Linked DNA regions of Lonchura striata. The protein of the gene in region 1 binds, or shares a complex with, the protein of each later gene. Links are inferred from orthologs where the notes say so. Each region holds a gene or a part of one and is shown in the gene's direction. Other genes may lie near its edges. The genes, in order: POLR1B, POLR1E, POLR1F and TAF1C.

Evidence for each region.
Region 2: the proteins of POLR1B (region 1) and POLR1E are in contact, whole or in part, in a cryo-EM structure (PDB 8A43), measured with the Homo sapiens proteins. The link is inferred for Lonchura striata from reciprocal best matches to the Homo sapiens genes POLR1B and POLR1E. Residues at the interface, in NP_061887.2 of Homo sapiens: Lys254, Ser258, Phe259, Ser260, Tyr262, Gln263, Gln266, Ser295, Thr296, Gln297, Ser338, Thr340, Glu341, Ala532, Cys535, Pro541, Ile542, Asp543, Gly544; in NP_071935.1 of Homo sapiens: Gln27, Ser29, Asn30, Gly31, Tyr69, Thr76, Leu79, Lys80, Cys81, Leu84, Cys85, Met109, Gln110, Pro111, Leu112, Phe113.
Region 3: POLR1B (region 1) and POLR1F share a complex: the UniProt entries of both Homo sapiens proteins name them as parts of the RNA polymerase I (Pol I) complex. The link is inferred for Lonchura striata from reciprocal best matches to the Homo sapiens genes POLR1B and POLR1F.
Region 4: POLR1B (region 1) and TAF1C share a complex: the UniProt entries of both Homo sapiens proteins name them as parts of the pol I pre-initiation complex. The link is inferred for Lonchura striata from reciprocal best matches to the Homo sapiens genes POLR1B and TAF1C.

What each region holds. Positions count from the first base shown.
Region 1 is NC_134605.1:18,959,175-18,966,438, reverse strand, and holds the start of POLR1B (DNA-directed RNA polymerase I subunit RPA2), read left to right. Parts: upstream 1-4,260; coding exon 4,261-4,404; intron 4,405-4,481; coding exon 4,482-4,649; intron 4,650-6,610; coding exon 6,611-6,757; intron 6,758-7,264. Other genes in the region: TTL (tubulin--tyrosine ligase), read left to right, coding at 817-934. UniProt on the Homo sapiens protein: Catalytic core component of RNA polymerase I (Pol I), a DNA-dependent RNA polymerase which synthesizes ribosomal RNA precursors using the four ribonucleoside triphosphates as substrates.
Region 2 is NC_134642.1:86,297,282-86,304,658, reverse strand, and holds the start of POLR1E (DNA-directed RNA polymerase I subunit RPA49), read left to right. Parts: upstream 1-4,363; 5' UTR 4,364-4,455; coding exon 4,456-4,522; intron 4,523-4,617; coding exon 4,618-4,721; intron 4,722-4,908; coding exon 4,909-4,985; intron 4,986-6,058; coding exon 6,059-6,144; intron 6,145-6,667; coding exon 6,668-6,723; intron 6,724-7,377. Other genes in the region: ZBTB5 (zinc finger and BTB domain-containing protein 5), read right to left, coding at 449-2,473. UniProt on the Homo sapiens protein: Component of RNA polymerase I (Pol I), a DNA-dependent RNA polymerase which synthesizes ribosomal RNA precursors using the four ribonucleoside triphosphates as substrates.
Region 3 is NC_134603.1:126,368,773-126,376,659, forward strand, and holds the start of POLR1F (DNA-directed RNA polymerase I subunit RPA43), read left to right. Parts: upstream 1-4,875; coding exon 4,876-5,111; intron 5,112-5,194; coding exon 5,195-5,336; intron 5,337-6,444; coding exon 6,445-6,653; intron 6,654-7,887. UniProt on the Homo sapiens protein: Component of RNA polymerase I (Pol I), a DNA-dependent RNA polymerase which synthesizes ribosomal RNA precursors using the four ribonucleoside triphosphates as substrates.
Region 4 is NC_134642.1:39,697,903-39,705,862, reverse strand, and holds the start of TAF1C (TATA box-binding protein-associated factor RNA polymerase I subunit C), read left to right. Parts: upstream 1-4,955; coding exon 4,956-5,087; intron 5,088-5,175; coding exon 5,176-5,269; intron 5,270-5,416; coding exon 5,417-5,523; intron 5,524-5,610; coding exon 5,611-5,706; intron 5,707-5,787; coding exon 5,788-5,858; intron 5,859-5,944; coding exon 5,945-6,192; intron 6,193-6,266; coding exon 6,267-6,377; intron 6,378-6,489; coding exon 6,490-6,613; intron 6,614-6,723; coding exon 6,724-6,795; intron 6,796-6,914; coding exon 6,915-7,050; intron 7,051-7,144; coding exon 7,145-7,273; intron 7,274-7,419; coding exon 7,420-7,594; intron 7,595-7,708; coding exon 7,709-7,846; intron 7,847-7,960. Other genes in the region: TMEM8B (transmembrane protein 8B), read right to left, coding at 38-512. UniProt on the Homo sapiens protein: Component of the transcription factor SL1/TIF-IB complex, which is involved in the assembly of the PIC (pre-initiation complex) during RNA polymerase I-dependent transcription.

The sequences.
Region 1 (7,264 bases):
TATTTGTAGCACTTGTATCACACAGCTCTGATTTAAAGAGGGAAAAAAAATGGCTGCTGTAAGCAATAAAAATCCCATCTTACTGTCACATAGCCCCAGTGGCATGGACTAAAAGACATTGTTAATCCTGGGAAAAACAGGTTTGGTACTAAATGCGTCCCAGATGCCAGCACATTTAGGAACGTCACACATGCGTTTTCTCCAGCAGAAAATGAAGCTGTTGTTAACTCAAACACCTCTCTTCTCCCTAATCCTGCTGTGCATGAGCTGTGCCATGGTAAAACGCATCCCACATGTCTGAGGGTCCTGTGAAGCCCCTGTGCCTGGTCACAAGCTGATGTGTACAGCTGCACCCCAGCACAGCATTTCATCAAACCAGGAATGCATCAGAGCAGACCCTCTGGGGTACATTCCTGTGTGAACAATGTCTGGAGCAGTAAATCCCAACTCCCTGAGTTGGAAAGCTGCTACAGGGAGCCCTGAGATGTTTTCTGCTCCTTTGCATTTGTGGAGACTCAAGTCTGGGGCCTGAGAGTCCACAGCCTCTGACTGTAAACATAGATAATGGGTTTTGTGGTTCTTTGTGAAAGGGAGAAATATTGGGAATTACCACCATGGAAAAAGAAAATATTGGTGTAAACAGGGAGGAGGTGGAAGAGATACTGCTCTCCTCCTATTTGCCACCCTGAAACTCCTTGTAATGGGAATAGGATCTTGTAGATCTTGCTGGGAAAATGGATTTCTCCATAAAAATTGGCCAGGCCTCTGCTGGTTTGGCCTGCCTGGGTATCTGATTCTCTCTCTCTCATTTCTTAGGAAGCTGTATGCAGAGCTCTGCCAAGGAATTGTGGATGTAGCCATCTCCAGCGTTTTCCCCCTCAGCGACACTGGGCAGAAGATGAACCAGTCATCATCAATCTTCATCAAGCTGTGATGATGACACAACTGCCACCACTGTGAACAGGGAGAGACTGCACCCCTCGTGTCAGCACAGTTCGGTGGCTTATCTCAGTAACATGCCAAAAAGTGATAGAGACAGGCTTCATATTTTCCGGGAGACCACAGGGAAAAACAACAAAACAGGCATCCTCACAGAGCTGTGATGAGCCAGAGCTGCTCAGATAACTCTGCCTGCATTCACCAAAATCCACTTTAGAAACAGCTTCTGTGACTTTGATACCTGAAACAAATCTCTCTGGGAGTACAACAAAACAACCTTAAAATGAAACCCCAGCAGGGATACTGTAATGCTGTATTAGCTCCTCCTTTTCTATAGAGATAACATTGGGTTTTTTAAGGGAATTGAGTGGAGAGAACGGTGGAGTTGTGCTCCTCCCGCTGTGTTTATTCTTTCCTCACCTACTGCATCATTAGTGCCTTAGCTCGGCTCCAAATAGGTGACTCCTTTCCTTTGTTCCTGCTCTGTTACATAGAAAGGAGCAAGCTCTCCTGGTGCCTAAAACCAGGAACACCAAGAAGTCAGTTTCCTTAGGTCATTTTCCAAGCTGGTTGGCTGAACACCTGGGCAATGGCTGGCAAAAGGGTGCTGAACTGCAGGTGGTGAATTAACCCAGGCAAGAAAGGTGATTTTCTTTATTTATAGCTATCCCTTTTCCTATTGAGATTTGAATCAGTGTCTGTCCCAGTCTGAGGCAGTTGGATTCTGCTTAAAAGAGGTAGAGAGACCCCCTCGGAGCTCACCAGCAGGCCGTAGGATTTCTAGCATCACTTTTGTGCTGAGTGTTTCAAGTAGCAGAAACCTGATCCCAGTTTCTTCTGAGGCACTGCAGTGAACTTAGGCTCTTGTCTCAGATTTTCCCTTCATGATTTACTTGAGGCTTGAACCTGAAATTTCTACCTAATCCCATTTGAGCCAACCGGTTTTATTCTCCTCCCTTTGACAAATACTGTAATCTTCTGCCCTGAACACAGTCCACAACTTGATCTTAGCTAGGGGCAAGGTGGGTGAGATTTTGTAGACCAGGAGAGACATTCCTGTTTGCCACACATCTGGGAAATCAGGTGCTCTGGGGGGAAGGAGGGGTTAAATTTCTTGAGATCTCTGTATTTCAGAGCTAGCATCTGCTTCAAGTATAACTTAAATGCCTGTCAGGTTTCTCCCCTTGTGAAGTGTATCTGAATTTGCAGTGTGAGCCCAGCACATCCCTCTGGGAGGGAGAGATGGTCATGGAAAGAAACAGGTTCCTGTTCCCCATAACAAACAAACTAGAAGACATTGTGGAGATTAGAAGTTGCCTGCGTATAATGGGAAGTGAATCAAGCAATGGAATTTCTGCCCTCCTCAGAAGAACCTAGCATTTTGGTGTACTCATCTCTGCTTGTGATGGAGATTTCAGAGTTCTTCATGCAGCAGACAATCCTGACAGGAAGGGGCTGGGTGATAAGGAGGGAGAAGGATGTGGGAGAAGGATTGGTTGGGTTTTTAACTTTATGATCGCACAGAGGTGTCAGAACTTCACTGCAGTCCAGGTGAAGAATGGTGGTAACTCACTGAGGTAAAATGTAGGCTGTGAAGAGTTGTTACTCATTAAGTTCACCACATCTCCACTGACATTTTCATGTTAGCTTAGCTGAGCTTAAAAACTGCATGTTTTCTGCTCTGCAGTGGGAAGATCTCACAGCAATTGCTTTCATCCAGGATGTGTCTGAAGTGACAGCTGAGCTCTCATAAATGCTAGGGCAGACAAGAACAGGAAATTTTCCCCATCACAATAATCCAAGAAATCCTCATATTCTGGGGTGCTAGACCCATCCTTCCCCTCAAAAGGGAAATTTAGATAATGCTTGGTAGTAGAGCCACAACTACAGATGATGCAGCTATTCTGCCTTTCCAGATGGGCTTGGGGGAGGTAGTGTTTGAGGGACACTTGAATCCTCTGCTGAATTTTTCAGGAATAAGCAGCATTCTCTGGAGTAAAATGTGTATTTTTCACCTTCTCTCAAAGTGTCCCCCAAAGTAAAGCACAGAAGGTAAATGATAAAGGACAGAGAGCACAGTGCCTAAAGTTTTGCCCAAAATACTAGCTATGAGGTGGAGTAGAGGATGTGTATGTGGCTGAGGCCTGGCATTGCAGCCATGGGTGCACCTTGCAAGTGATGCTCACAAGCCCCTGTGAGACTTTTTTTTTTGTTTCTTTTTTTAGGAATATACAACAATAAATGTTTTCTAGTTTATTTCAGCTGAAAGGTCAATAGACAAGGTCTTACTCTCTTTCCTGAGCTTTTACCCAGGATACTTCTGGGTTTCCAGAAGACACCTACCATACTACAGAATGTCTCTAGTCTTAGTTGTATCCCTTCATGTCATCCATGAAGAATTTCTGGCCCAGGTGTTCTGGCTGCGTTGTCCAGCAGGGTCTGGTCCCACTGGACTCTGGGTTTCAGGTAACACCCATGTGGCTTGTTCCATACGAGTTAGTCATGTTGTGCTTCTGCTGAAATCTGGTGGCTGCCCACAGTCCATGGAGAATGCCGGAGAAGTCTAAGAAAGGCTCGAACGCTGATTGCATCCAGGCGACTGTGACCAGTGCCCTTCAGGACTGCTTGCATGTCCCTGCTCGCAGCATTTCTTGTTCTCCACACGCAGCTCTCCCCCCGGAGAGCAGGGCTGTGCCGTTCATAATCGTGCTCCATGACCGTGTCTGCTGTGGCAGCCCCTGGGGAACCCTGGTGTTGAGACGGTGTGAGGTACGCGGGGCGCTGCCGCCCGGCGGGCTCGGGATCGTGCGCCCAGCTGTTCTCACGCCAGCATGTGCATGTGGGGCTGGCGAATGCCTGAGCTCCCGGCTCTCCGGTGAGCTCACATCTGTCCACATCTCTCCTAAATCATCATTAAAACATGCAAACCCCACCGCCTCTGGTGTTTCCTTGGGGCAGCGCGTTCCTGCGGTGCCAAGCCCCAGGACCCCGGGAACCGGCCTCAATCCCTGGGCTGTCCCGGCAGCGGTGGGAGCCGGGGAACAGCGGGGTTGTTCGGAATTCCAGGCGTGCGGAAGAAGTGGCGGAGAGTGACGGGGATGGGTGGGTGGCCAGGCTCCCGTTCCTGGGGCGTACACGGATGCACGGGGCGACCGGGATCAGGGGCTGCGCGTCGGGAGGAGCGCAGCGCGGGGGCCGGAGCGGCGGGGCGGGCTCCGGGGACGGGAGCGGGCGGGAAGCGGCGCGCACGCGCGGGAGGCGGCGCGAGGCGCGCACGCGGCGCTTCCCGCGGGCCGCTTCCCGTGAGGAGCAGCGCGCGGCATGGCGGGCGCCGGGACGGGGTCGCGCCCGGACCCGCACCGCCTGCGGCGGCCGCGGCGGGGCACGGCCCAGCGCCACCTCACCAGCGCCCACATCGAGTCCTTCAACTACGCCGTCAGCGAGGGCGTCTATCGCGCCGTGCAGGTGCGGGGGGCGCGGGGCGGGGGGCGCGGCGCCGGGCCCGCTCCCGCCCCCGCCGCCCTAACCCGGTGCCATTGCAGGAGGTGCCTTCGGTGGAGTTCGCGCTGAAGGACACCCGGCTGGCGCTGACGCTGGTCGGGGTGTCCATCACCCCTCCCGCCGTGCCGGCCGGGACGGTGTGCCAGGAGAGGAGGGTGTTCCCAGCGGAGTGCCGCGGGGTCCGCAGCACCTACCGCGGCAGGATCACCGTAAGTGCCCGCGCCCACCGCGTGTCCCCGCACACGCGTGTCCCCGCCCTGTGGGGCTGCTGATCCCCGCACACGCGTGTTCCTGTCCCAGCAGAGCTCTGCACACGCGTGTCCCCGCCCTGTGGGGCTGCTGATCCCCGCACACGCGTGTTCCTGTCCCAGCAGAGCTCTGCACACGCGTGTTCCCATCCCCCTGCGCTGTAGATTTAAAGGCCCTTCCCGGCTCTCCGATCTCCCGCGGGGTTCAGGGAGCGCTGCCCCCGTGGGCTCTGGGGTGTTGGTGATGTGCGGCCTCGCTCTTTTTCCCCCGCACGTCAAGCTTGTCGCGGTCCCGACCCTGCTGCCCTTCTTTCCTGTTTCTCCCTGCAAGCAGCCAGCTAGCTTGCAAGTCCTTGGATGGAGACCCGTGTCATCCCAGAGAGCAGCATAATCCAAATCTTGTTTCTGCAGGAATCTAGGTTTCAAAAGCAGCGTTGGTCCCATACAGAAGTCCAGAGCTATAAATCTCTCCTGTTCACAAGTTCATGGTTTTTGTGAAAAGCTTTGTAATTTGCGCGGAGAGGAAGCATCCCCAGCAAATATTTTCCTTTGCAGTGTGAAAGGATTGCACGTGGCTGTTTTCTGTTAAAATTATGTACTTGTGTCTGAACTGATTGCATATGTGAGGCACCTGGTGCAAGGGACTGCTTGCTTGGAACTTCAGCTTTTTTGCTTGCTTTCATTTGTGTTGGTTTTTTTAATTTCTCTGCAGCCTTTAATTTCTCTGAATACCTTGCCATGATGAAAGTCACTCTAAGTGCAGTACCTTGTCTGAAAATGAAAGTGGGACAGTGCAGATTGTTCATAGCTGTATTCCCAGTGGATCTTAGATTTTCCTGAGCTACAGCTGGTTTTATTTTTCTTACCTGAATTATTTTCCTTTTTTTTTTTCATTGTCTGTCTAATTATTTTTTGAATGCTTGGAGCAGTTAGAACAGTTTGCTGTGTCTTGAGTGAAAAGGCATTATCTTGTGCTGGGAGAGGTTAACATCTCCCCTTCCCTGCCCATGCACAGCAGAAAACAGTCAGTAACCATTCCCTGTTTCCACTGTGCTGCCTTAACTCCATATCCCTCCCTCAGTTCCCACTGCCCCAGAGTAGGATGTGAGCCCCAGTCTACTGAGCAGCTGTAGACCCTTAGTCATCACTTCAGGTGTAGACCAGGCTGTAGCAGTGCCTGTGTAAGGCTGCCCCGTGGATTTAAAGAGGCACAGTAGCATTTCCCTTCCCTTTTCCAGTAGTTTCTGAGACTGTTATTCATGTTTGCTGCTGCCAGATGCTGAACTCACGTTCCTGTGTTGCAGTAATAATGTTTCTTTCCTGCAGGACAGCAGCTCTTTCAAAGCCCATCATTCTGCATGTAAAGTTAGGATTCTTTGCTCCCACAGTCTTCCTGCAGACCCACTGCCAGAACTTGTTAATAAATTTTTTTTTCCTGCATGCTTTTCTTTCTTGCTTTTAAGATCACTCACAAATGTGCTAGGTGAAGAAAGGAAAGATTTTGTCATGCCTGTAGTGTGGATGTCTTTTTAGTCGACACTTCTGTCTTCTACTTTTAACTGTTAACCTTCTGAACTTTTCTTACCTGTGGCTGCCTTTTGTTTGTTTTGTTTATATTTAGGCTGCTCTGCTGAAGGGTCTGGAAGGCAAAGGAGGCTAGACCAACTTTGTTTACTCACCCAGAAGCTTCTTTACCTGACTCTAGACTTGTATGATTTTCTTCTGTAAACCTATGTTCACTGTTCCCCTGAGTGTAATCTTCATGCATGTATCTACTGGCTCCTTTTTTTATTATTGTTACCATTTTACAGTGATACAAGTCCGTTCAACTGTTTGTGGTTGTATGAAAGGTGCAGTTAATATAGCAGGAGATATTAAAAGGGCAACTTTACTTTCTTACTGTTGGTGTTGTGTTGTTTTAGGCCGACATCAGCTGGTCATTGAATGACACGCCACAAGGGACTATCAAACAGCCCCTAGGATATATTCCAATCATGGTGAAGTCCAAATTGTGCAACCTCTATGGTTTTTCTCCACAAGACCTTATGCAGCATCGTGAGGAAGAAGAGGTAATGGGGATTTTGAGGGTCAGGAAAGTCTGTGTTTTACCTGAGCAGTCTGTCAGGCCACTTTCTCTTTGCAGGGCTTGAACATTTATATTTTGTTTCAAGTTTGACTTTCCATTTTCTCTTGAAAGCAGATTGTTTATGGGGGCTTGATGAAGCAGCTTGAGAAGTTGCAGCCATGGCTGTTCTTGAACACAGGGATCTGTTTGGTGTCAATACCTACAGTTTTGTTATAGAACCTCTCAGCTGCTACACAGCAACTGAGAGTGCTGTGAAGGGGACTGTGAGGAAAGATTTGTAGAATAGGCATTGAAAGAGACATTTCCATTCCCAGTTGTCTTCTGCAGCTTTTTCCCTGTCTTCCCAGTAGCATGTTAGCTGTGTATAATTGAATACATACTTATTTAGCACTGCATTTTGAACTCACAAAAAAAGAGAGAGAAAACTACAAAAGAAAATTGAAAAAGTAAGCTTGTATGTGACCAGACAGATATCTTTTGCTCTGAAAAT
Region 2 (7,377 bases), on another chromosome or scaffold:
ACAGCCAAACATACATTCATAATCCTAGAACTATCGTCGTAAGTAGCGTATTTTAAAGCATTATGTCAGACAGGTGCAGCCTAAGCTGTTTTCCTCTTTGAAAGGTAAGGGGTCTGCAGCTCCATCCTCAGGTAATGCAGCAACTCATGTTACAGTAATCATTTAAATGCTTCCACTGTTACAAAACGCTTTAGAGAGAAGACAAAAAGAAAGGAAAGCGCACGTCAGTTTCTTGTTCTCAAACCGTGCTATTTCAGGAGACCCCCGTGCTGTCGCCCCTCTGCCCTGCAAAGGGGCTCTTGGCCGTGGGGGTCGCATCCCCATCCCGCCGCGCGGCTCCCGGCGGCGACACCCGCGAGGTAGGTACCGGATATCCCCAATGGCAGAGCCAAGACTATGTTTGGCACCGTGGCACGCCGGTGTGCGCCCGCCCGCCTGCCTGCCGGGCTCACAGCAAACTGCTGGGCAGGTTGCTGCTCTGCCACCTAAGGCAGGTGGTCTTGGAGTGTTTGTAGAGGTGGCTGGACTGGCTGAAGCGCTTGCCGCACTTGAGGCAGGCGTAGGGCTTCTCCCCCGTGTGCACGCGGATGTGCTTCTTGCAGTCCGTCAGCGTCAGGAAGGTCTTGCAGCAGATCTTGCAGGCGTACTTGCGCGCACCCTCCACCACCAGCACGTTGTGCTCCGACAGGGCCTTCTTGCACTTGGACAGCACGTCAGCGGAGGCGCGCGTCAGCTGCGGCGGGCCTGGCTGCGACAGGTGCCCGCCCTCGAAGGAACTGCCGCCGTTCATCATCAGCTGCGACCCCGAGGAGCTCTCCTGCAGCTGCGAGCTCCGCACCGAGGTCACCACGGGCATCTTGGGGGCGATGCGGCGGTAGCCGGGGAAGCCACCGGCTCCGCCTCTCACAGAACCCATCATGGCCCGAGACAGCGAGTGCAGGCCCAGGCCGGAGCGTGGGAAATCCATGCCGAACTGCTCCGCCGCTCGGTAGCCGGAGCTCTGCACGCATGGCAGACCCATCACATCCTGCATGGGCCGCACGAAGTGGGAGTCTGTGGGCTCACTGAACGGGTTCTCCACGTGCGACACGGCGGCGGACGAGTGGCTGCCGGCGGGCCCCGACTCCGGGCTCATCAGGTAAGGGGCGTCACTGTCCATCCTGCAGTCGCTGGTGGTGTTGGGAATGTTGTCGTCGTTGCTTTGGCTGGCGCCAAAGCCACTTCCCCTGCTTTTATTCAGAAAGTTGGAAATGCTGAAAGAAGACTTGTGTTCCAGGTTGTTGGACACCTCCATGATGTGGATGTCCCCCACCCTGTCGGTGCTGGACTGCGGGTCCGAGAAGCTGCGGTCGCTGCTCTCGGGACTCAGCTCGATCTTCTCTGCGCTCACCACTCCTCCTTCCACCTCCACCGACTCGCTGCCCTCCGCCTGCGAGGTGACATCGCTCACCTCGTCCTGGGGCTCCGGGGAGCTCAGGGGCTCAGACTTCACCACCACCCTCATGTGCTCCTTCTCGTTCAGACTGACCTCGGGGTTTTCGCACGGGAAGTTGCTCTTCTCAGCAGCAGCCTCCTGGTCGTAGCTGGTCTCCACCTGCGTGGCCTGGGACGCCATAGACATCTGGGAGATGTTCCCCTCACCATTGTCCGACTGGCTGGGCACCTGGGCGTCCTCCTGAGCGCCGAAGGACTGGTCGAACATGATCGTGTTGTCCTCCTGGTTATCGGCAACCGCGTCGGCCTTGGAGTTGTCCACGATCTTGAGCGAGTCCGGAGAGAAGAAATCCTCCCGGGAGTGCACGCTGGGCTGCCCGCTCTCAGCGGCCACGTCGGCCACGGGCTCGTCCATGGCGGGGCGGACGCGCTGGCGGGCGCGCTCCTCGGAGGACTGCTTGCGCTTGTGCAGGCGGCGCATGGGGAAGGCGGCGCGCTGCTCCAGCCCGCCGCGCAGCGCCGCGCCCAGCGCGCCGGGCGGCTCCTCGGCGCCCTGCGAGGAGCCCAGCGCCGAGCTGACGATGCTGAGCCCCAGCTGCTGCAGCATGAAGGAGCGCTGCAGCCGCGCGCTCTGCTCCTGCGCGGGCTCGCTGGGCGGCGACAGCGGCAGCGTCCGCGTCGTCAGGTAGTGCTTGCAGGCCTTGACCACCGAGTTGAGGTGCAGGTGCGAGGCGGCCAGCAGCACGTCCATCACGTTGCTCTCGCCCAGCATCAGCGTGGACGTGTACATCATGTCGATGAGCGCGGCGAAGGCCTCGGCCGTCACCACCTCGCTGTCCAGCTGGATCATGTTCATGCTCTGGTCGCCCTCGGCCACGGTGAAGAGCGCGCGGAAGTGCGTGCTGCAGGCGGCCAGCACCGAGCGGTGCGCCTTGAAGTGCCGGTTGCCCACCACGATCACGCAGTCGCACAGCTGCCCGTGCAGCCGCTGGTAGTTCAGCTGCTGGAAGACCTGCTCAAAGTGCCCAGGGAAATCCATGGTCCTGCAAAAACACAAGAGAACCGCTGTGTGGGCCGCCGGGCTGGCCGGGGGAGCAGCTCTGCTGCAAGCAGAGCATGGCTGAACTGGGATTGTGCAGCCTGCAGGGCGGCCTCACCACGGCCTTCCAGGCCTGAAGGGGCTACAAGACTATTCATGGGAGTCTGCAGTGAAGGAGAACAGGGACTGGGTTCAAACTGAAAAACAGCAGCACAAGATGGAACTGTTCCCTGGCAGGGTGGGCAGGCCCTGGCACAGTTGTGGCTGCCCCTGGATCCCTGGCAGTGCCCAGGCCAGGCTGGACACTGGGACTGGAGCAGCTGGGACAGTGGGAGGTGTCCCTGCCCTGGCTGGGGTGGAAGAAGACAAGGTGCCCTCCCAAGCCAAGCTGCTGTGTGATCCTACGGCTGAACTCCTGGCCGGGCTGCAGCCAACCTGGCAGCTAGGACAAGAGCTGACAGCTGACAGACAGACAGACAAACAGCCCTGAGTGTCCCACCAGCACATGGGCACAGCACCAAAGGCAGGTCGGGAGGACAAGAAGGAGCAGTGACAACACCACGAGCCTGAGCTCAGCACCAGCCACACACAGGCAGCTGTGCTGGAGCCCAGACTGCGTGGGTCTCCTCACACCCACACCTACTGTGAAACAGTCGCTTCTGGTTGGTGAAACTGATCGAAACGACCTGCTGTCCCTCTGACACACTGCTAGCACACCTGGGCAACCTTCCCCAGAAAAACACGGCACTGCCCAGCCAGCCAAGCAGCCAGCAGCCGGGGCTGGCTTCTCCCCAGTCCTCACCACCTAACATCAGACCTGTCCTGCAGATCAACCTCAGGACCACGGAGGTGACCCTCAGAGTATCTCCATTTCTCCCCGTGCCGTGTAAGGCTCGGTGAGCACTCCCCAGGCACACACACAGCAGTTCCTGAGCTCACATTATTCTGCAGCAGCACTGACGGGCACGGGACCCCAGCACAGCCAGAAGGAAAGGGCACAATGCAGCCAGAGCCCAGCACAGCCAGAAGGGCCCAACACAGCCAGACCCCAGAGCAGCCTGAAGGAAAGAGCACAACACAGCCAGACCCCAGTGCAGCCTGAAAGAAAGGGCACACGGCCGGGATCACACTTTGAGGAGGGTGCACAGCAAGGTCCGTCCTCAAACACGGAGCTGTTTGCTGCTCTCTGCTCCCTGCCACCGCTGCCGGTGCTGGCCGGGGGCTCTCCCCGGAATCCCAGCGTGTCCTCGGAGGGAGTCACAACGGCAGATCGTTCACCTGGCATCACCTGCACTGTTCAGCACGGGAAAATGAAGTGATTTAGAGCCTCTGAGAGTCCGGAACGTCACCCGACCTGCGATGACTGGGTTCTCCTGCCGGGAGCTGCTCTTCCCGAGACACTGCCCCATTCCCCCGTTTTCTCCCCGTTATTTCCCCGTTTTTCCCTTACGCACCACCGGGACCAGCCAGCATGCGTGCCCCTCCCAGAGGAGCACCTGCCCCGCCGCGCTGCACCAGCAGCGGGGACCGCGCAGCGGGCACTGCGCTCCGTGCCGCGCACGGCCGCACCGGGGACACCGGAGAGCCACGGTGTCGCCCGGCGCTGGGCTCCGCGGTGTCCGCCCCCCGCCGCCGCGCTCACCTGCGGTGTCCGTGCGGGAAGGGCGGTGCGGGACGGGCGGTGCGAGGCTCGGGATCGGGACCGGGATCGGGATCGGGCCTGGGCTCGGCCCCGGCCCCGCTCCCGCCCCGCCGCGCCGACACCCTACGTCACTTCCGGCCGCGGGCGGCGCGCGCCGCGCCGGCAGCCAACCGGCGGCCCCGTTACTTCCAGGCGGCGGTGGAGCCTCACCTCACCCAATGGGGACTGGGCTTATTGCCGCGACCGGAAGCACCAGCGGAAGAGGCGGAGGAGCGGCATCGGCACCGGCACCGAGCGGCGTCCCCGGCCCAGCCCGGCCCAGCCAGGCCCAGCCCTCACCATGGCCACCGCCACCGCCATCTGGCGCTACCGCGGGGACCCCGAGCCGGAGCTGCCGGCGGCGCTCGGTGAGCGGCCCCGCGAGTAGCGGCGGGTCCCGGGAGTGGCAGCGGCCCCGGGGGTGGCGGCGGCCCCACGCCTCACGGGCTTTCCTCTCCCTTAGTGCGGTTCGCCAACGGCCGGCTGGAGCGGCCCGACTCGCTGCGCTTCGCCGCGTACCGGCACCGGGAGGCGACGCACCCGCGGAAGAAGCACCACAGGATCCTGGTAAGCGCCCGGCACCCGCGGTACCGGAGTACCGGGGTGCGGGATGGAGCGGGAGTGGCACACGGCGGGGCAGGGGCGGATAACGGGCTCAGAGCGGGGGGTGTGAACCATCCTGGTGTCTCTGGGTTCCCCAGGAGCTCTCCTGGTGTCCCTCAGCCCTCTCCAGGGGTCTCTCCCACTTTCCCAGGTCTCGGAGACGGAGCGGCTCTGCTACGTGGGGCACAACTTCGGCACCGACGGGACGAAGTGCAGCTCCCTGTGCAGGTGAGGAGCACGGGGCTAGCAGAGCACTGCTGGGGGCTAGCAGAGCACCGCTGGGGGCTAGCAGAGCAGCACATGGTGCTAGCAGAGCACCGCTGGGGGCTAGCAGAGCACTGGGTGGGGCTAGCAGAGCACTGCTCGGGGATAGCAGAGCACTGGGGGGGGGCTAGCAGAGCACTGGGTGGGGCTAGCAGAGCAGTGCTCGGGGATAGCAGAGCACTGGGGGGGGGCTAGCAGAGCACTGGGTGGGGCTAGCAGAGCACTGCTCAGGGATAGCAGAGCACTGGGTGGGGCTAGCAGAGCAGTGCTCGGGGATAGCAGAGCACTGGGTGGGGCTAGCAGAGCACTGGGGGGGGATAGCAGAGCACTGCTCAGGGATAGCAGAGCACTGCTCGGGGTTAGCAGAGCACTGCTCGGGGATAGCAGAGCACTGGGGGGGGCTAGCAGAGCACTGCTCAGGGATAGCAGAGCACTGCTCGGGGATAGCAGAGCACTGCTCAGGGATAGCAGAGCACTGCTCGGGGATAGCAGAGCACTGCTCAGGGATAGCAGAGCACTGCTCGGGGCTAGCAGAGCACTGCTAGCACTGCTCGGGGCTAGCAGAGCACTGCTCGGGGCTAGCAGAGCACTGCTGGGGCTAGCAAAGCAGCACACGGGCCTCACACTGGTGAGCCAGTGGTCTGGGGGCTGCTGGGCTGCTTGCCTGCAGCTCTGAGGATCATGAGCTCTGGGAGGAAATTTGGAAATTCAGCTGTTGTTCAAGCTATGGCCATCGAGTCCTGCCTAGCAAAAAGAAAGGGAAAAGGAAACAGCAGAATGTTGGCACCTACACTTTAAGAGAAAAAAGCAGAATTCTGGCACCTACACTGTACCGAATTCAGTTGTTTTTAGGACTTCTGCACTTACTTAGAGTATCAGTTCTTCTGTTGTTGTGTGCACACATGCCATGGAGGAGCCTTGGCTTATTGTAGTGCTGTGTGTGCAAGGCAGGAGAGCTGCTGGGCTGTGAGACAACCATGACATTGAAATGATTTCTGCTCTCTGCCTCTCGCTGATCAGTGCCCTGTTCTCCCCAGGTACTTTGTTGGCGTGCTGGACAGGAGCTCTGGGCAGATGGAGGTCTACAATGCTGAAATATTCAACATGCAGCCCCTGCTCTCAGGTGGGAGGTGCTGGCAGCCCGGGGCTGTGTCCTGGTGCCCATGGCAGGGACAGGGACAGCTCCTGCACAGCCTGGGAGGGGGAGCACGGCTGGGGGCTCAGCAGGGACTCTACAGGCGGGGAGGCACTCACAGAGCCTCACTGCTCAGGTGCTGCCTTCTCTGGGAGCCTTCTGCTGAGGGAGCCTGACCCTCAGCAGGAATTGCACCCCTGAATAACAAAATAAAACCAAAAACCCACAGGTTTTATCCAGCAGGGCTGCTTTTTGTCATTGCCCAAAGGGTCACATCTATTGTGGCTGATTTTTACCCTGAGCAGCAGGACGTGGGCTGGGCCATAGTCCATATATTGCATGTAAGGCTTTGAAGAAGAAGCCTTTTTTCCTAGGTTCTCATATTTGTCATGTCCTTTACTGAGCCAGGGGACATGGAGCAGGTCCTGTGCCCAGTCTGTCGGTCACAGAGCCAAAGGAATTCCTGTCCTGCTTCTTCTGTGCAAGCAAACTGACTCTTGCTGTTTTGTAGATAACATGATACCTGACGACACAAAGGAGTATCAGAAGAAATCCTACAGGGAGAAGGTAAGGTTGGAGCTGTGTCCTGCTCTGCTGTGACTGTCCAGCTGTGAGGGGCTTGTCTGCAGCCTGGGAGGTTTGCTGTCCTGTAGGGTGAACCTGTGCAGGGCCAGCATTTTCCCAGTGTCCAGGAGGCAGCATGAGCATTGCCTGGCTCAGGAGCATTTTCCTCATTTTCTTGGTTTACCTGGTTATTGCAGGCTGGTCACCAGCCCAGTGACCTCCTGCCCCTCGCAGAGCAGCGCACCCTGCACCTGCGGGTCCTGCCACAGGAGGAGTTTAAAGTGTGGGAGGAGCAGCAGGGTTTGTGTTCAGTGTGTGTTCCTGCCTTGTGCAGGTGGGTTTGGGGTTTGTGTTCCCTGGGTGCATAGGTTTCAGTGTGTGTTTCTGTTTGTGCAGATGGATTTGGGGTTTGGGGTTTGTGTTCCCTGGGTGCACAGGGAGTTTCAGTTTGTGTTTCTGCCTTGTGCAGGTGGGTTTGGGGTTTGTGTTCCCTGGTGCACAGGGTGTTGGATTTGGGGTTTGTGTTCCCTGGGTGCACAGGGTGTTGGATTTCCCTGGGTGCACAGGGTGTTGGATTTGGGGTTTGTGTTCCCTGGTGCTCAGGGTGTTGGATTTGGGGTCTGTGTTCCCTGGGTGCACAGGGTGTTTCACTGTGTG
Region 3 (7,887 bases), on another chromosome or scaffold:
CTCAGAATATAAACTGCAAAATAGCACAGACAGATTGTCAAGAGACATTTCATTCACCCCATTTACAACCTGTGCATCCATCTCATTTGTTAGCATCATTCATCAGAGCCATTCACAGTGCTGCAGAAAAGCCTCGCTGCTCTCACAGTGGCACAGGCTGCTTTCCTCCCTTGTTTCTGTGGCAACATCACCTCTTGTTTCTATGAGAAAGGTCACGTTGTCATACTGTTTAATCCACTACCTGTACACATTTCACTCACTGGCTGGAAACAATACAGGAGAGTTTCAGCATTAGACCAACAAACAGCCAGACCTCCACAGCTCATAATGCCTGTGCTATTGAAACTATGCCTTCAATCACCAGTGGAGCTGGAGAGGGGCACCACAGTCAGCACCAGGCATCCTACATCAGGCTCATTATTTCTACAGATAGAAGGCCAGTGAGCTACTTGAACACAGATCTTTCAGTAATATATTTATTTCAGTAAATATTATATATTTATATTGCATATATCTGTATAATATTATATAATATATAATATTTCAATAATATATTTATAGACAAGATATTTTACCTCCACAAGAGTGATTGCCAGCCATATCAGCCATTTCCCAGCAGGCAATAACCTACTTTTAGACCAAAGGCAAATCTAGTCAATCCCCAACTGTTCGAAGATGTCCATCCCAAGAACAGAATCACAGAATTGCTTGGATGGAAGAGACTTGAAACATTGTCTAGTGCCAACTCCTCCTGCTGCAGGGAGGGATTCCTTCCATTGGCTCAAAGTCCCATCCAATCTGCCTTTGAACACTTCCAGGGAAGAGACATTCACAACTTTCGTGGGCACCAGGTTTCAGTGGCTCACCCTAACAAGGAAGAACTTCTTCCTCATATCCAATCTAAGCTCACCCCTTTTCAGCTTGAAGCCAATCCTCCTTTGCCCCACCACTCCATGCCCTTGTAAAAATCCCTCTTCATGTCTCTCTTATAGGTCCCCTTTAGATACTGGAAGGTGCTGTAAGGTCTCCCTGGATTCTTCTCCTCTACAGCCTGAACAACCCCAACTCTCTGTCTGTTTTCACAGAGAGGTGCTCCAGCTCTCTGATCATCTTCGTGACCCTCCCCAGGACTCACTCCAACCGCTCCCTGTCCTTACATCATGAGTGTCACTACAAATCAAGATGAATTATTAGCTGAAAGAAATTAACATAATTGCTGTCTTATCGCATTTCTTTCCCTTAATGTTTTTCAAAGTCATTTCCTAGCTATTAGGGATTGACCTACTAATTGCTGACAAAACAAAGAGTCTGCATAGTGTAACACAGATTAAATTTTCAGCCAGGCATGCAGTTCCTCTCGTTCTCTTGGATGACAGCACTTACCCATACCAAGGCTTTTGTGTGCCATCTGGTGGACTTTCAGCACTTGGTACATTTTGTTTAAGTACAAATAAAGAGAGTCCGAATGCACTGTCAGGAGAATCTACCTTCTTTGGCCATTGACAGTTTCATCTTATCATCCTGTATTTGCTCAAATTAATGTGTGCCTGACAGTAACAACTTAATTCCTCTCACATTTGCAGTCAAATGAGCCTTTATTACTGTAACTGTTGTTATCTTTAGCTAACCCTTTGCACTGATAGATTTTATACGTAACTGAATGGTCACCCTTTCAAAAATAACTTCCACAAAACAGAATTCCTATCAGAATTCCATATATAGAACCACAAGCTGACAATTCTCAATGGCATTTAGATATTTCATTCTCAATGACTAAAAATGCTGCCATTAGTCTCCATTTGTCATGAGGTCAAAGATATTGAAGCAAGCCTATTACCATGCAACTTCAAAAACAAAACTGAGAGTTTTGAGCACTCATTCTTCCTTCTAAGTATGAAAGCAAGAACTGTCATTAAAAATACTGCAGGGTTAAAAATGAAAAAGGAGAAGCCAGCTAAAACATTTGAAAAAAAATCCAGAGCACCATTTTTGTACTGTATCTAACTAATGCAGCTGAGGCATTTCTTAATTTATCCTTTTTATAGAGCACAAGCTGTGGGATAAGGATGTGATGGAATAAATTTCAAAATGCACAAATTCCTACAGCAACACAGTCCTAACGGGGAGTGTATTTCCTACTCCAGCACACTGCCATCGGTTTTCTTCCACTCTGCAAGACTTCCAGGATTTTAAGGCTGGATGAGGGCCACTCTCTGAATGAATGAGTTGCACCTGCCACAACAGAGCATCAATAAGCAACTGGATGAACTTTACACCCAACATACATTGTCAATTCAGAAATCTGAATACAAGATGGCAGTGACTGTATGGATAGAAAAGACCAGTTGAGAGGTGCTGAATTTTTTGTTTTCAAGGAATCTCCTTTTTGGAATCTGGCCATCCTTTCACAGAGAGAACAAGACTAACCCAAATAAAACAGGAAGAAAAAGAACAGCAGTGACTGCAAAGGCACCTTTTGGGTTTGGTCCCCATTGTTACTTGCAACCTGACCTCTAGAGAAAATCAGGCTCAGCACTGTCTTATCAGCCAGTCTGGGACTTGGCAAACATACCAACAGCTGTGCTGGTTTAGACATTGATTTTAGCTGCCTTTTTGGACACAGGCTCACTGGAGTGCTGCTGAAAGGTCAGCCGAGACAGACTCCTTAAGCTGAAAGCTAACACCAAGAAAAGTTATACAACCAGGGAAGAGAAAGAAGCCAAGAAATGAATGTGGGGATATCAGCATTTAAGTCTTATGGTCCAGGTGGTTTTAAGAACTGATCTCTGGCTGGAGGAGGTGGCATTTGGATTGAGATTCCTTCTTTTATCAGAGTATCTTTTACAGAGAGGTAGTGAGTTCAAGTCATACCATGAGTCTGAAATCTCTACAAGCCTGCAACACAACACAGCTTTTGGTACAGACAGACCATGCTGCACCAGGAAGCAGTGGCACCTGACAGGTGTGGAGTTGCAGAGAAAAACAGCTGTTGCTGAGGCCAGGTATTTACAGTTAAAGGATTTCAAACAGACTATTTTAAATTATTTCTGCCCTACCACACAGACTTAATGACCATTAGGATTTAAAGTTCATTCTCCTGATTGCTTTAGCCCGAAAGGAGATCTGGAAGTCCCAAGAGCGCTGTGCAATGAAAACCAGGCACGGTAGCAAGGAGAAATGGAGATTCAATTAGAAAGTACAGACTCAATCTTGTAGGGAATTTTCTGGTGACAGAAGTTCATGGGGATAACCTTGGAGAGCCACAGGCCCTGAGAGACAGAGCCCTTCTGACACCATCTTGGCGAGCCAGCCTGACTATGGGGTGAAATACAAAGGTCCACATTTTTGTTCATGCTGTTTTTCCATCTTATTATTAGTTTTTATTTTAAGAGCAAAGGTAGGTTTTTATTATCCTGGATAAAACTGAGTAGAGCCCTTAGTGTATTATATGTTCTCACTGCAAACTAAATCCACCCATAAATAAGAGTTATAAAAAATATATTTCTTTTAGGAATAGAAGTGCATGTAGTTATAGTTTAAGGTCTTTAACCAAGATTGAAAGCACATTGCAAGGTTTAAATATGATCCAAATAGTTGAAATAAAAAATATAATATTTTTTCCAGAAAGCTGAGACCATATAACATGAAATTAATTTCAACAGACATTAAATACCTTGGAGGACTAAAGCCACATAAGAATACAGATTAAAGTAGTTCAAGACATTTTCTCTTTCGATTTTGGAGTTTGGTATGACATCTGAAAGCCATTTTTATGTCAGGTCTTTCACACTAATCCAACTTTACTTGCAGTAAAGTACTGCAAATTATACCATTTGTTTTACTTGTGAAAGCTAACAATGTCCTGTCTTCACAGTATGTTCAGTCAAAGAAAACTTTCTGGTGATGTAGTGTTTGAGTAGTTTCAAAGGCTTTTGCATCACTAAATGTTTTATAGGGAGTTCAAGGATTTCTGGTATCTGACGTAAGGCTTGTTTTCACAAAACAAGTGTTTCTGAGCCCTCCACAGTATAAAAGGAATTTTAACACCTTTAATGAAACCGACAAATTTTTTTTTTTTTTTTTTGGTAACTCCCCATGTGGGTTCAATCAGTTTGAAAGTGTACATTTACTGTAACGAGTCAATATAAATTAGACTTAAATCAGTGAGAGAACACCTTTTGAACGTTTTGCATTAGTTCAGTTGAATCAGTTTAAAGTAAAATCCTGCTGCGCCGCTTTGCGTGGATATAAAGTCTGAATTACTTTTCTGGACAAAGCCTTCACTAACCAGCCACAAATTCCATCATTCGTAACTGGACAAGGTTCTAGTACTGCAGTTTGTAAAGGTTCTAGTACTTTGTACGTAATTGCAGTGTAGAGTGCACCAGCAACCCTTTTGAGGACTTGTACTTTATTTTGTTGTCCTGTTATTAAATGAATTTAAACATTTGTCACCATATACACAAACTGGATCTGGGGTGGGGCAACAGACTACAAATTCTGTATTTTAAAACTGCTGTATATGAAGAATAAGGCAATTCGTCGCCGTGTCATTTGCCTGGATGGCCAAATGCCCAATGTACATTCACAAGGCACCGCGACGCGTCTCCCGCCCCGGGGCGCGCGGGGCTCCGGGGGGGCTCCGGGCGCCGCGGGTGCGCTCCCCTCGTGAGAGCCGGACCCGCCGCTCCCTCCAGCTCTGACCGGCCCGTGCCGGCGACACGCCAAGCGGGCTGCAAAGACTTAACACCGCCGCCGCTCTGCGGCACGGAACACCCCTCCGGAGGCGAGCACATCCCCCGGAACTCCGTCACGGGCGCGGCCGGCGGAGGGAGGCGGCTGACGGCATCAGGCGGCGCGGCGGGCCCGTGGCGCATGGCCGTGCCGCGGCAGCCGCCCGCCGCCCCGGCGCCGCCGCCCGTCGCCCCGGCGCTGCCGCCCGCCGCCGCCCCGTCGTTCGGCGCGGCCCGCGCGCTGCTGGCGCGCCGCCACTCGTGCCTGGTGGCGGGGCCGCGCCGGCGGCACGTGGCGCTGCCGCCGCGCTTCCTGGGCCGCAAGCGCTCCGGCATCCGCGCGCAGCTGGACGCCGAGCTCCTGCGCTACTCCGAGAGGTGCGGCCGCGCGGCGGCGGGGCGGGCCCGGCCCGGCCCGGCTCGGCTCGGCTAACGGTGACCCCTCCTCATTGTCCTTGCAGCCTGCAGGGTGTGCCCGTGGCTTACGACAACATCAAAGTGGTGGGGGAGCTCGGCGACATCTACGACGACCAAGGGTTCATCCACCTGAACGTCGAGGCGGACTTCATCATCTTCAGCCCCAAGAAAGGGAAGAAGCTGGTGGTATGCTTACGGCACGGGCTTTTTTTATTAAGTGGTCAAAACTTGCCTTATCTTCATCAAGTGCTCTGGCTCTTACGTGGAGACATAGTTTATGTTAGCTTATCCACTTATGAGTAGTTCATAGCAGTTTATTACTAGCTTGTTCTACAATTTTTATTGTTGTTTTTCTGTTTTGCACGTCTCTAGGTTTGTTGAATTTCCGTATAATTATATATTGCTAAACGGTTGTGTCATAAGCATTGCATGTTTAATAGTGTATCATAAGCGTGTATATCGTACCGGTGCTCCATTCTGAATAGCAGATAATTCTCAAACAGGTGCATTTGTTATAGTGATAGGAATGTTTAGGATGCTCTCCAGTTTGGTTCCTCCAAGCACAGGACCAGTACATCGAGCTAGCCTGCCTTTCACTAAAGGAGGTGTGTGCTCACAGAACAGCTTTAAACTTGTCAAAACCCTTGCTGAGCACTTGTGGGTAAAGCACGTTAAGAGTTGGCTCGCATTCATTGTTGTGCCATACCTTTTGCAGCACAGATGGTGTCTTTATAATTGTGTTTTAAGATGAATGTGCCATCTTCCTAGGAGGATAATAGAAAAATTTTTGATGTCTGTCGTTCATCCTATGGGTGAAACAAAGGTGGATATGGTTTCATATGCATATGTGTCAGAAACCCACTGAATGGAGTATTTAGAAGCTTTTTATGTGTCTTCCCTATCTTCAGCTGCTAAGTACTTCTGTGCCAGCTTGAAGAGCATTTTAGGCAAGTAAATCAGACTTAAAATGGCTTCAAAGCAAAGTTGATCGCTGTAGTGTAAAGAAAAGAGTTACCTACTCTATTCACGTATTCACTGTAGTTAAATCCAATGTTTTGACTTCCTCTCCTGCAGTTTAGTTCTATTTTCAGAGGAATTGTATGAAGACTTTACAGAACTAACTTTGATTTTAATGAAGGAGCATTAACTTATTGCTAGATAAACTGGCTTCATAACTTGTACTGAAACTCTTACTGAAAATTTTCCATATGGGAAGGTAAATATTTAAAGGGTTTGCATTGAAGGGGCTGATTTTTGCTATAGACTTGCATGACATTATTTTTTTCTTTTTTAGGGCATAATTAACAAAGTGGCCCCTAGTCACATTGGCTGCCTGATACATGGATGCTTCAATGCATCTATCCCAAAGCCTGAACAAATGTCCATTGTACAGTGGCAAGAGCTGGGGTTAAAAATAGGGGATGAACTGAAATTTCAAGTGTTGCACTTGGATTCTGATACAGCTGGGGTGTTCTTCATTCGAGGAGGACTCACTAAAAGCAGGTACAGTGCCTTAATAGAGAATTTTTTTAACTGATTCAATACATTTTTTAAGATGCAATTAAAATCACTTAGATTGTAATCTTTCAGTGTTCTTATTTTTTACACAAGTATGTATATAGCTGTATATATAACTATATATATATATATATTTTGTCTTAAACTAAACTTTCTGCTCTTTAGGACTCCCATGGGAGTTTTCTCTGGAAAAAGTAAAACTAGGTGCTTCTTGAGCTTTAAAAATCCGAGTGTGTTGACCTATTAATTGTCAATTACATATATAATACATGCTCAAAATAATGCATCCAGGTGTCCAAAAGTAGCTTTGTGCGTAGGCTTTTCAAGTGCAAACAGTCCAGGGGTCCTGAACACAGTGGTTACATTGACAGTTGCACACAAACACATGCATGTGCATTGTATAATGACAAATATATGACTTGCTGAAACATGAGAATTTCAAAGAGAAGAAAATGTGTCTGCTTCCTCCTTAGGCCTCTGTAAATTTATGGGGCACCTTGAAAGAAATCTTGTCTTCAGAAGAGTTCATTCATGTTTTAAAAGAAAAAAAGTCATTTACTGAGCAATGTTTTTCTTTCAATATGGTTTTGATTAATGTATAATATAACTCCTACTGGCAAATTCATAGCATTTTTCGTTTGTTTCTTCTTTTAATCTGGAAGGATGCTCTGTGTCGTTTCAGTGAAGTTACAGTGAAAGTTAGCAATTTTGTCTTCAGTGCCTCTGTGGACATAAGAACCTCCATGGTTTTTAACTGCATTCTTTCCATATTTGTCTTAGAATTTTTTTTTTCCAGTGTTCTTGGTTGCAAGCTACCTGTTAAGGTGGGGGAGTAATTTAGTGTTTTTTGGTGGAGGTTTTTTCCTTTTTTTTTTTTTTTTTTTTTGTTTGTTTTAATTTTTTGGACATCACTTTTGTTTGAATTAGAGTAGGGTAATTGCTTAGTAAAATCAGCAATGTGCAATGTGCCTCATATATGACTGAATAGGCCACTAGCTGTGTGTTTTTGTGAATTACTTAAAAAAAAAAAAACAAAAAAGCTTTACAACACAATGTGTAGTTATGAATTAGGGGATGAAGAAGCACAAGAAAAGGGGAACTACCAAATGATCTATATGACACTTTAGAGAAGAAATTTAGCCTAAGATTTGGAAGAGAATATTTATTATGTGGTAAGAATAGAAATTACCCTGAGAGTATTAAACTTTGATTCTCTGTA
Region 4 (7,960 bases), on another chromosome or scaffold:
TCCATTTTTCTCTAGAGACACAGCAAGAATGAGATACCCCTTTTCACAAGCTGCTGGAAAGGAGGAGGCCAGCAGAGGGTAGGCTGGGAGCAGGTCTGTGCCCAGGAAGACTCATCCAGCATAAAGTGGGATAGCTGAGAAGAGGGTCTGCTTTGCACCACATGTTCTTGGTGAGGAGTGTGCGCATGTGCTTGCATGCACGTGTGTTTGTGCTGCGTGTGTGCATCCCCAGTAGGCTGTACACTGACATGCATCTGCTCCCTTGTCTGGAACAAAGGCAGCTCCCCCTCCCCTTCGCTCCCAGCCGGCACAAGCCAGACATGAAACACCTGCCTCCTCAATGCAAGAGCATCCGATACCAATTTCTCCACCAGGAACGACCTGGTCATTCCACAGCCCCACGTGGGGACAGTGACCTGGCGCGGGACTTCAGGGAGGGTGTTGAACACAACTCCAGAAGGGGAACTGGGGGAAGGACCCGGAGCTACCCAGTCCCCACACAGGCCCCCCATCCAGGCTCTTTCATCCAGGGCAATGTGAGGGAACTGGTTGCATGCAGAGGGTCAGACTGATGTGGCATGGTAGTGCAGCCAGAGCATGGGAACGGTGCTGGAGGATGGAACGGGACTGCTATCCACGGAAGCAGAGTGGATGGAAAGAGAAAAGCCAAAGCCCCTCTGCTTCAGGCCGGCCAGCGGCCTGAGCCGCAGGACCCCAGCCCCGCTGCTACAGCCTCAGGTCTCGGCCACGGTCAGCACTGCGGACAGCTCCGCGGCCGGCGGTCAGCACCGCGCACAGCTCCCGCTGCCGCCCCCCCCGCTGCACCCTAGCACCGGCAGCCCCCGGCCAGCTTCCCCCCTTCCCCCTCGAAGCCCCTAAGTAACCTTCCGCACCCCGTTCACCAAGCCATCTCCTTGCCCCATATCCTGCTCCTGGTCTTATACTGCCGTTGATGTATCCCACGCACATCCTGACGCCCCGCTGGACACACACCCCCGTTTCTGCAGGCTGTCCATCTCCGCTGCTCCCCTGCACGCACACAGCCTTCTGCCCTGCATCTGCAACTCCCCGGGCCCACTCATTGCCCACGCACACGCCTCCCTCCCAGGGTGTTCCACTGCCTGTGCACTGCCTGCATCCTCCTCGCACGCACAACTCTGCACCCCACTGCTCATCTGTCTCCATGCCTCACTGCATGGGTACACCGTGCCCCACTGCACGCACATCCATGCATCCCATTCCACAGACATCCAGTACCCTCTACACAGGCATCCCTGTACCCCATTATGCAAACACCCCCCTGCAGACGCATCTCTGCACCCATCGCACCCACCTCATGTCCCAGTGTAGATGTACCCTGTGCCCCATGGCACCCCACACCCAACTGGGGACAGCTCTGTACTCTGCAGCATATCTGCCCCAAAGCCCACCGCATAATGGCCCCATCCCTTGTGCCACACTCACCGTGTCCCGTCACAGGTGCACCCCACATCCCAGGATGCCATCCCCCCATAGCTGCGTCCTTATGCTCCATCTCACCCACACCCTGCCCCACTGCATGCAAACCTCACATCCCATTGCTCATGTAGCTCATCCCAAGCTACACAGGTACCCACTCCAAGCTCACCCCCTGTGCCGCACCACATGGACCCCCGCAGCCCACACCTGCAGCCCTTCTCCCCACCGCATCTCACCCACTCCCTGCCCCGCAGCAGGCACACTCCGCATCCCATTGTTCGTGTACTTCACACCCATCCCAAGTTCATCCCTCTGCCCCACGGCTCCTCACGGAGCCCTGTGACTCACCTCCAGCCTTCCTGCCCACCGCGCACACTCCCGCGCTCCATTCTCACCTGGCCCACCCCACTGTGTGCACACCCCACATCCCATTGCTCGTGTACCTCACGCCCACCCTACACGTTCATCCCGCTGCCCCCGGCACGCTGTCCTGTGCTCCTCCGCACGGACCCCCGCACCGCGTGCCTGCAGCCCCCCTGCCCACCGCACACACCCCCGTGCTCCAATCCCACCCGCCCCGCTGCGCGCACCCCCCACACCCCGAGGCTCCCGTACCTCACACCCATCCCAAGCTCGTCATCCCTTGCGTCCCGCCGCACGAACCACCGCTCTCCGCTCCACCACCTCTCCCACCCACCGCACACACCTCCTCCGCGGTACCGCCTCGCCCCCGCCGCGCCGGCACCCTCGACGTGCGCTCCCGCACGCCGTCCCGCGCTCGCCCCGCCGCCCCACGCCCGCGCCCCCCGCCCCGGTCTCCCGGCGGCGCTCACCGGCGGCGGGCGGCGGCAGGAGCAGGAGCGGCAGGAGCAGCAGCGGCAGCGGCAGCGGGAGGCGCTGCCCGCCGCTCCCGCCGCCCCGCCGGGCCATCGCCGCCGCCGCCGCCGCCGCCGCCGCGGCTGCCGTGGGGCGCGCGCCTCCGGCCGCCCCGCCGCGCACCGGCGGCCCTGACGTCATCCGCCCCGCCCACCGGGACAGCCTCCCTCGTCGCCATTGGCCTCCGGGCACGTCAATCACCGGCGGGCGCGCCACGCCCCGCCCGTTCCGAGAGACAATTCCTCCCCTCCGATCCCCTCGGGATGGACCCGGCGCTGACCGGGGCACTAGGGGACAGCGACACGAGCGGGAATGGAGATGGGAAGCTGCGGGAAAGGGGCACCGCGTGGAACCCGAGATATGGGCCGGGAACTGGGGCACAGGGCTGGGCACAGGGACATGGCGCTGTAACGGAGATAGGAGCCGGGAACGGGGGCACAGGGCAGAGACACCGTCTGGAGCAGGGACACGGGCTGAGACCAGGAACAAGGCGCTGAGGGCAGGAACATGGTGCTGTAACTGAGATACGGGCCGGTAATGGGGTCACAGGGCTGGGGGCAGGGACATGTCTCTGGAACTGAGACATGGCCAGGAAGGGGTCACAGGGCTTGGGACAGGGACATGGTGCTGTGACAAGGATATAGGCCGGGAACAGAGATATGGGGCTGAGGGACAGGAACATGGGGCTGCAAACAGAAACATAGGTTAGGGGAGAGGGACAGAAACAATGACTGAGGACAGTGATGTGGGTCTAGGGGATAGGGATACGGGTCTGGGGACAGGAATATGTCCTGGGCACAGAAATATGTCCTGGGTACAAAAATATATAATGGAGAGGGACATGGAGTTGCTGGCATGCCCTGGAATTAAGGAAACGGATGGAAGGCAGCGAGGGCTACCTATGGAGCTGGAGGTGGTGGGGCTATCTACCCCACAGAGGGCTGTGTAGGGGGGTCAGGTGGTTTTCTATCAGTGGTTACCACCTTCTAAAAGCAAATTGTAGCATGTATCTTAGAGAGGAGGTGTCCCACAGAGGGGGTCTGGGCACCAGACTCAGGGATGCAGGATCCTCAGACTGCAGGGATGAGGCCATCTTGACTGGAAACAATCTCATCATGCTTTCCCAAAGTCCCCCAACATCATCCCCAGACTCTCCTGACATCACCATCCTCCTTGGCCATAATGGAGAAAGCAGGTTACTACTCATGGGCATGCTCCTCTCCCATCCTATGCTCCACACAGGGCACCCTGGGAGCTGAAGCAGGAGCAGCCACCCCACCATGTCCCTAGCCTGACTGCCCAGCAACCCTCCCCAGAGCACAGACCCCCATGCAGGCATGGCTGGAGGTTCCCTCCCCAATGCAGACCTCACCAGCACAGCTCCGGGGCCAGTGGCCTCTGACACAGGGAGGTAAAAGGACAGTTGTCCCTCAATGAGAAAGCTGGTCATGCTCTCCTTGGGAAATGGACTGGGGAACTTGTCTCCCTGCCAGATACTCTCCAAAAGCTCCAGGATCCCATCAGAACCCCATGGGACTAACATGAACTCTGTGTGGGTTCCCATGGGAGCTTGGTGGGTCCCTCGTGGGGAGCCAACAACCACCTTGTGGGGAGGAAGGAGCACAGAGCTGGGGTGGGAGTGGGTTCACCAAGGCCAAGCAGGTGTGAGGAAGGGCAAGGTGGGATTGGGAACTGGCATATCCACAACCTTCCAGGAGCTGACCTTCAACTCCACAGCCCTCAGATATCTGAGACTGTCCCATGGCCCCATACACTCCGCTGGAGTGTGGGGTGCCCCATGGCCACACAGCCGGGGCCACGGAAAAACAGGTGTGCCTCTGGCAGGTCTCACAGGGGGGTTTCACTGCTCTCGAGGCGGGCAGAGGGAAACAATGCCCGTACTCCTGCCCGTGCCCCGGCGGGGTCCTGACCCAATAATTCTCCTGTGCCTGTCCTGCCCCGGCCCTATCACACTATTCCCTGTGCCTGCCCGGTCCTGCCCCAGTTCCACCGCTTCCCCTACCCATCCCGTCCTGTTTCCATCTCATCCCACCATTTCCCTCCGCCCGTTCCCGTCCCGGTCTTACCACTTCGCTTTGCCCTTTCCCGAATGGGTCCCACCTCTTCTCCCGCCTGTTCCCGTTCCCGTCCCGTTCCCATCCCAGTCCTACTGCTTCCTTCTCTCTCTCCCGTTCCCATCCCAGCCGCACTGCTTCCCTCTCCCTCTACCGTTCCCGTCCCGTTCCCATCCCAGTCCCACCGCTTCTTTCTCCCTCTCCCGTTCCCTTTCCTGTTCCTGATCCCATCCCAGTCCCACCGCTCCTCTCTCCCTCTCCCGTTCCCGTTCCTGTTCCCAATCCCGGTCACACCCGTCCCCGCTCGTTCCCGGTTCCCGTCCCGCTGCCGGCCGTACGTTTTTACCCTCCGGCCGCCAGGGGGCGGTGGCGCCCCACATGGCTGTACCGCCGTCGGCGCTCTGTCCCGCGCTGTTCCCGGGCCGCTGATTGGTGAGCGGCGGCAGCAGCGCGCGGTGACGTCAGTGGCGGTGGCCGCGCCATCCCCGCCGGTGGCGGGAGCGGCGGCCCGGCCGCGTGCTGCCGCCTGTGCCCAGTGCCGCGGCCATGGAGTTCCCGGCCGCGCTCTTCCCCTCCTACTTCTGCGCCGGCCCGCCGCGGGAAGAGGGCGGCCCCGCACCGGCCGCCGGCTGGGGCGAGCACGGGCAGGTGCTGGAGGGTGGCCCCGGCCGCCGCCAGGTGAGCCCCTGCCGGGGGTCCCGGCGGGCCGAGGGAACGGGCAGGACGCTCATGGGCCGCTCTGACTCTCCTCCTTCGCTCCCCGCAGGTGCAGCCGGCGTTCGTGCCCCGCCGCGGCGCGACGGGCGAAAGGTGGGAAGCCGCCGACGCTGCGGCCGTGCCGGTGCTGCTGCCCAGAGCGGGTGAGAGCCGCGGGAGCAGGAGGGAGCTCTCTGCACGGGGGCTGGGGGAAACATGCCTCCCACGTCTATCGCTGCCGCTGCCCCGCAGTGCTGAGCGGTGACCCTGTGCTCGTGTGATGCCAAGCCACCTCTGCCTTCTCCCCACAGGCTGCTGGATCCCCTCGCCTGCACCTCAGGACATCCTGTACCGCAGCAGCCTGTGCAGGAAGCTCCGGATAGGCAAGTCTGGAGCCACTCTGGACTTTGCCAGGCAGGTGGGATTTGAGGCATTGCATCCTGGCAAGGAGCTATTTGGCAAGGACCTTTGCATGCACTGACCCTTTCTCCTTCTGCCCACACAGCTGGGCCATTTCTTTGTGGATCACCCAGAAGATGCTTTTGGCTCCCTGGGGCGTCTGCTGCACAAGAACTTCTATCTGGGAAACGCCAAGCTGAAGGTCACTGTCTGTCCAGGAGTAACAGTGCTGCTCCCCTCCTTTCCCCTTGCCAGTCTCAATCTCTGCTCCCTACTCCTGTAGAGACCAGCCCGGAATAGCACCATCCGGATGACAGCCCTGTTGGAAGACATTGACCGCCTGGAGGCCCGACGGTGAGTGTCCCTCTGTCCCCTGCCCTGCAGCAGTCTAGGGGAGTTCCTGCTCTGTCCCCCAACCTGATGCTGTCTATGCCCTGCAGCGGCTGCCCCCGGCAGCACTTGGCCTCCCGCCTGCGCTGGTTCTCCCACCTCTGTCGTGACTGGCTCTTCGAGGTGCCGCTGGGACTGCTGGCAGACTGCCTGCATGAGGAGCTGACGCAGCAGTGGTCCAACCTGCTCTTTGACGACAGCCTCACTGGGGGGGCACTGGCCTGGTTGCCCCCTGAAGACGGGGGGACAACCAGGGGCTGCCTGGTGTACCCTGGAGGGCAGGCTATGAACCACCTCTGTATCCTTGCCCATGGGATGACCCTGGGGAGGGAAGTGGGGGTTGTGTTGCACCACCCTTAGCCAGCATCCCAGATTTCCAGGATGTGGTGCTGGAGGGGCTGCCCCACACCCGAGGCTCCCCAGTGCAGTTTGAGCTCAGCGGGCGCATCCGGCAAGTGGCTGCAGCCCGTGTGGATGGGCAAGGTGAGCCAGCCCCAGCATCCACATCTCAAAGCAGACAAGATGTAGGGAGGAGGGGCAGCAGGGCACTCCTGGGATGTTGCCAGATTACATGCCAACTCCTTCCCCCTGACAGATTTTGTTGGGGTTCGCTCAGACTATCACTGTGGTGTTTGGAGGGTGCCGGGCAAGACAGGGGCAGCTCCTGCCCCACTACAAGTGATCCGCACCGATGTGCCTGCCTCCTGCCTCACTGTCAGGTGGGTGCTGGAGGAAAGGATTGTGCGTGGGGGGTGCTCTGCTGGCACAGCCCTGCTCTGTGTGGTGAGTTCTGTTGCACAATGATGATGCTGTGTCCCCTGTCCTGCAGCCCTCACCTTCCCGGGGAGCTGTCTGTCTGCACCCAGAGCGGGACTGTCTACCTCTGGAGCGTAGAGACCGGGTGAGATAGGGCATTCAGGGCTGTCTAGGGACACATGCAGACAGTGGAGTCTCGGGGGGTGGGAGGCCCAAGTGACTGGGGCAGCCCTACCCTGTGCCAATACTACTGTCTCCCCACAGGCTGCAGAAGCTCCGCCATGACTCCCAGACCATGTTTTTTCGGGACCATTCACCCTGGCGCTGGAGTGACTTCACAGCTCACCCACGAGTGCTCAGCTGTGCTGACCGCACAGGCCTGCAGTGCCTGGATGCCCGGGTGAACTTGGGAGGGTGGGTGTGTTGCTTGGAGCAGGCAGGGAAGAGGGTTCCACAGCCCAGAGTGCTGACTGCACCCTGTTCTACTGTTTCAGGCCCCCAAGAGATGCCACTTCGACTTGTTCAAGGTGGGCGAGGAAGCTGGCTGTCAGCAGGGCGAGCGTGTGGTGCTGCCCATGTACCTGGGTAGGGCTCACCCCTCACAGTACCTTGTCACCACCCAGGTGAGTCCCACCACAGCTGGGAGCTGGGGAAGACACGACACACAGTTGTGTCTCCCAGTGCTTATGGGGCATGAGGATTTTCCAGTGAGGGGAGCTGCCACAGTGCGTTGAGGTGTGTCCTGTCTGACCCAAGACTTCTGTCTTAGTTCTCCGTGTATGTGCTGGACGAGCGGTTGCCACTGGTGCCTGTTCTGAAGTGGCCACATATGATGAAGGCCCCTCCACTCTTTGCACACCTGATGCCAGGGAAGCCCGAGAGGAGCCACAGGGTGCTGCTCGGTGCGTCCCGCACCCAGGAGCTGTTGCTGTTGCAATACCGTGGTAGGAAATCAAGCTCCAGAGCCAGGGCTGCTCTGTACCCATGTCCTAGCTGCTGGGATCAGCTGCTGTTCTGGCACCTGTGCTAAACAGACGGTATTTGGGGTGTTTCCTCAGGGGGCAGCCAGTCGGCCTGTCAGCTGGCTGGGACTCCGCAGAAGCTGCACAATATTGCAGGGTGCCTGCAGCACCTGCCCACCCAGCTCCCACACCGCCACCACCTGCTCCAGCAGCGCCTGTCAGCTCCAGCAGCAGGTGAGTGTCCCACTCTGCCCCAGGCTGCAGGTCCTGGTGAGGGAGAAGGTGGAACAGAGTGAAGTGTAGCCTTTGTCATGGCCTGGCTGGAGCGTGGCTGAAAAACCAAAAGCA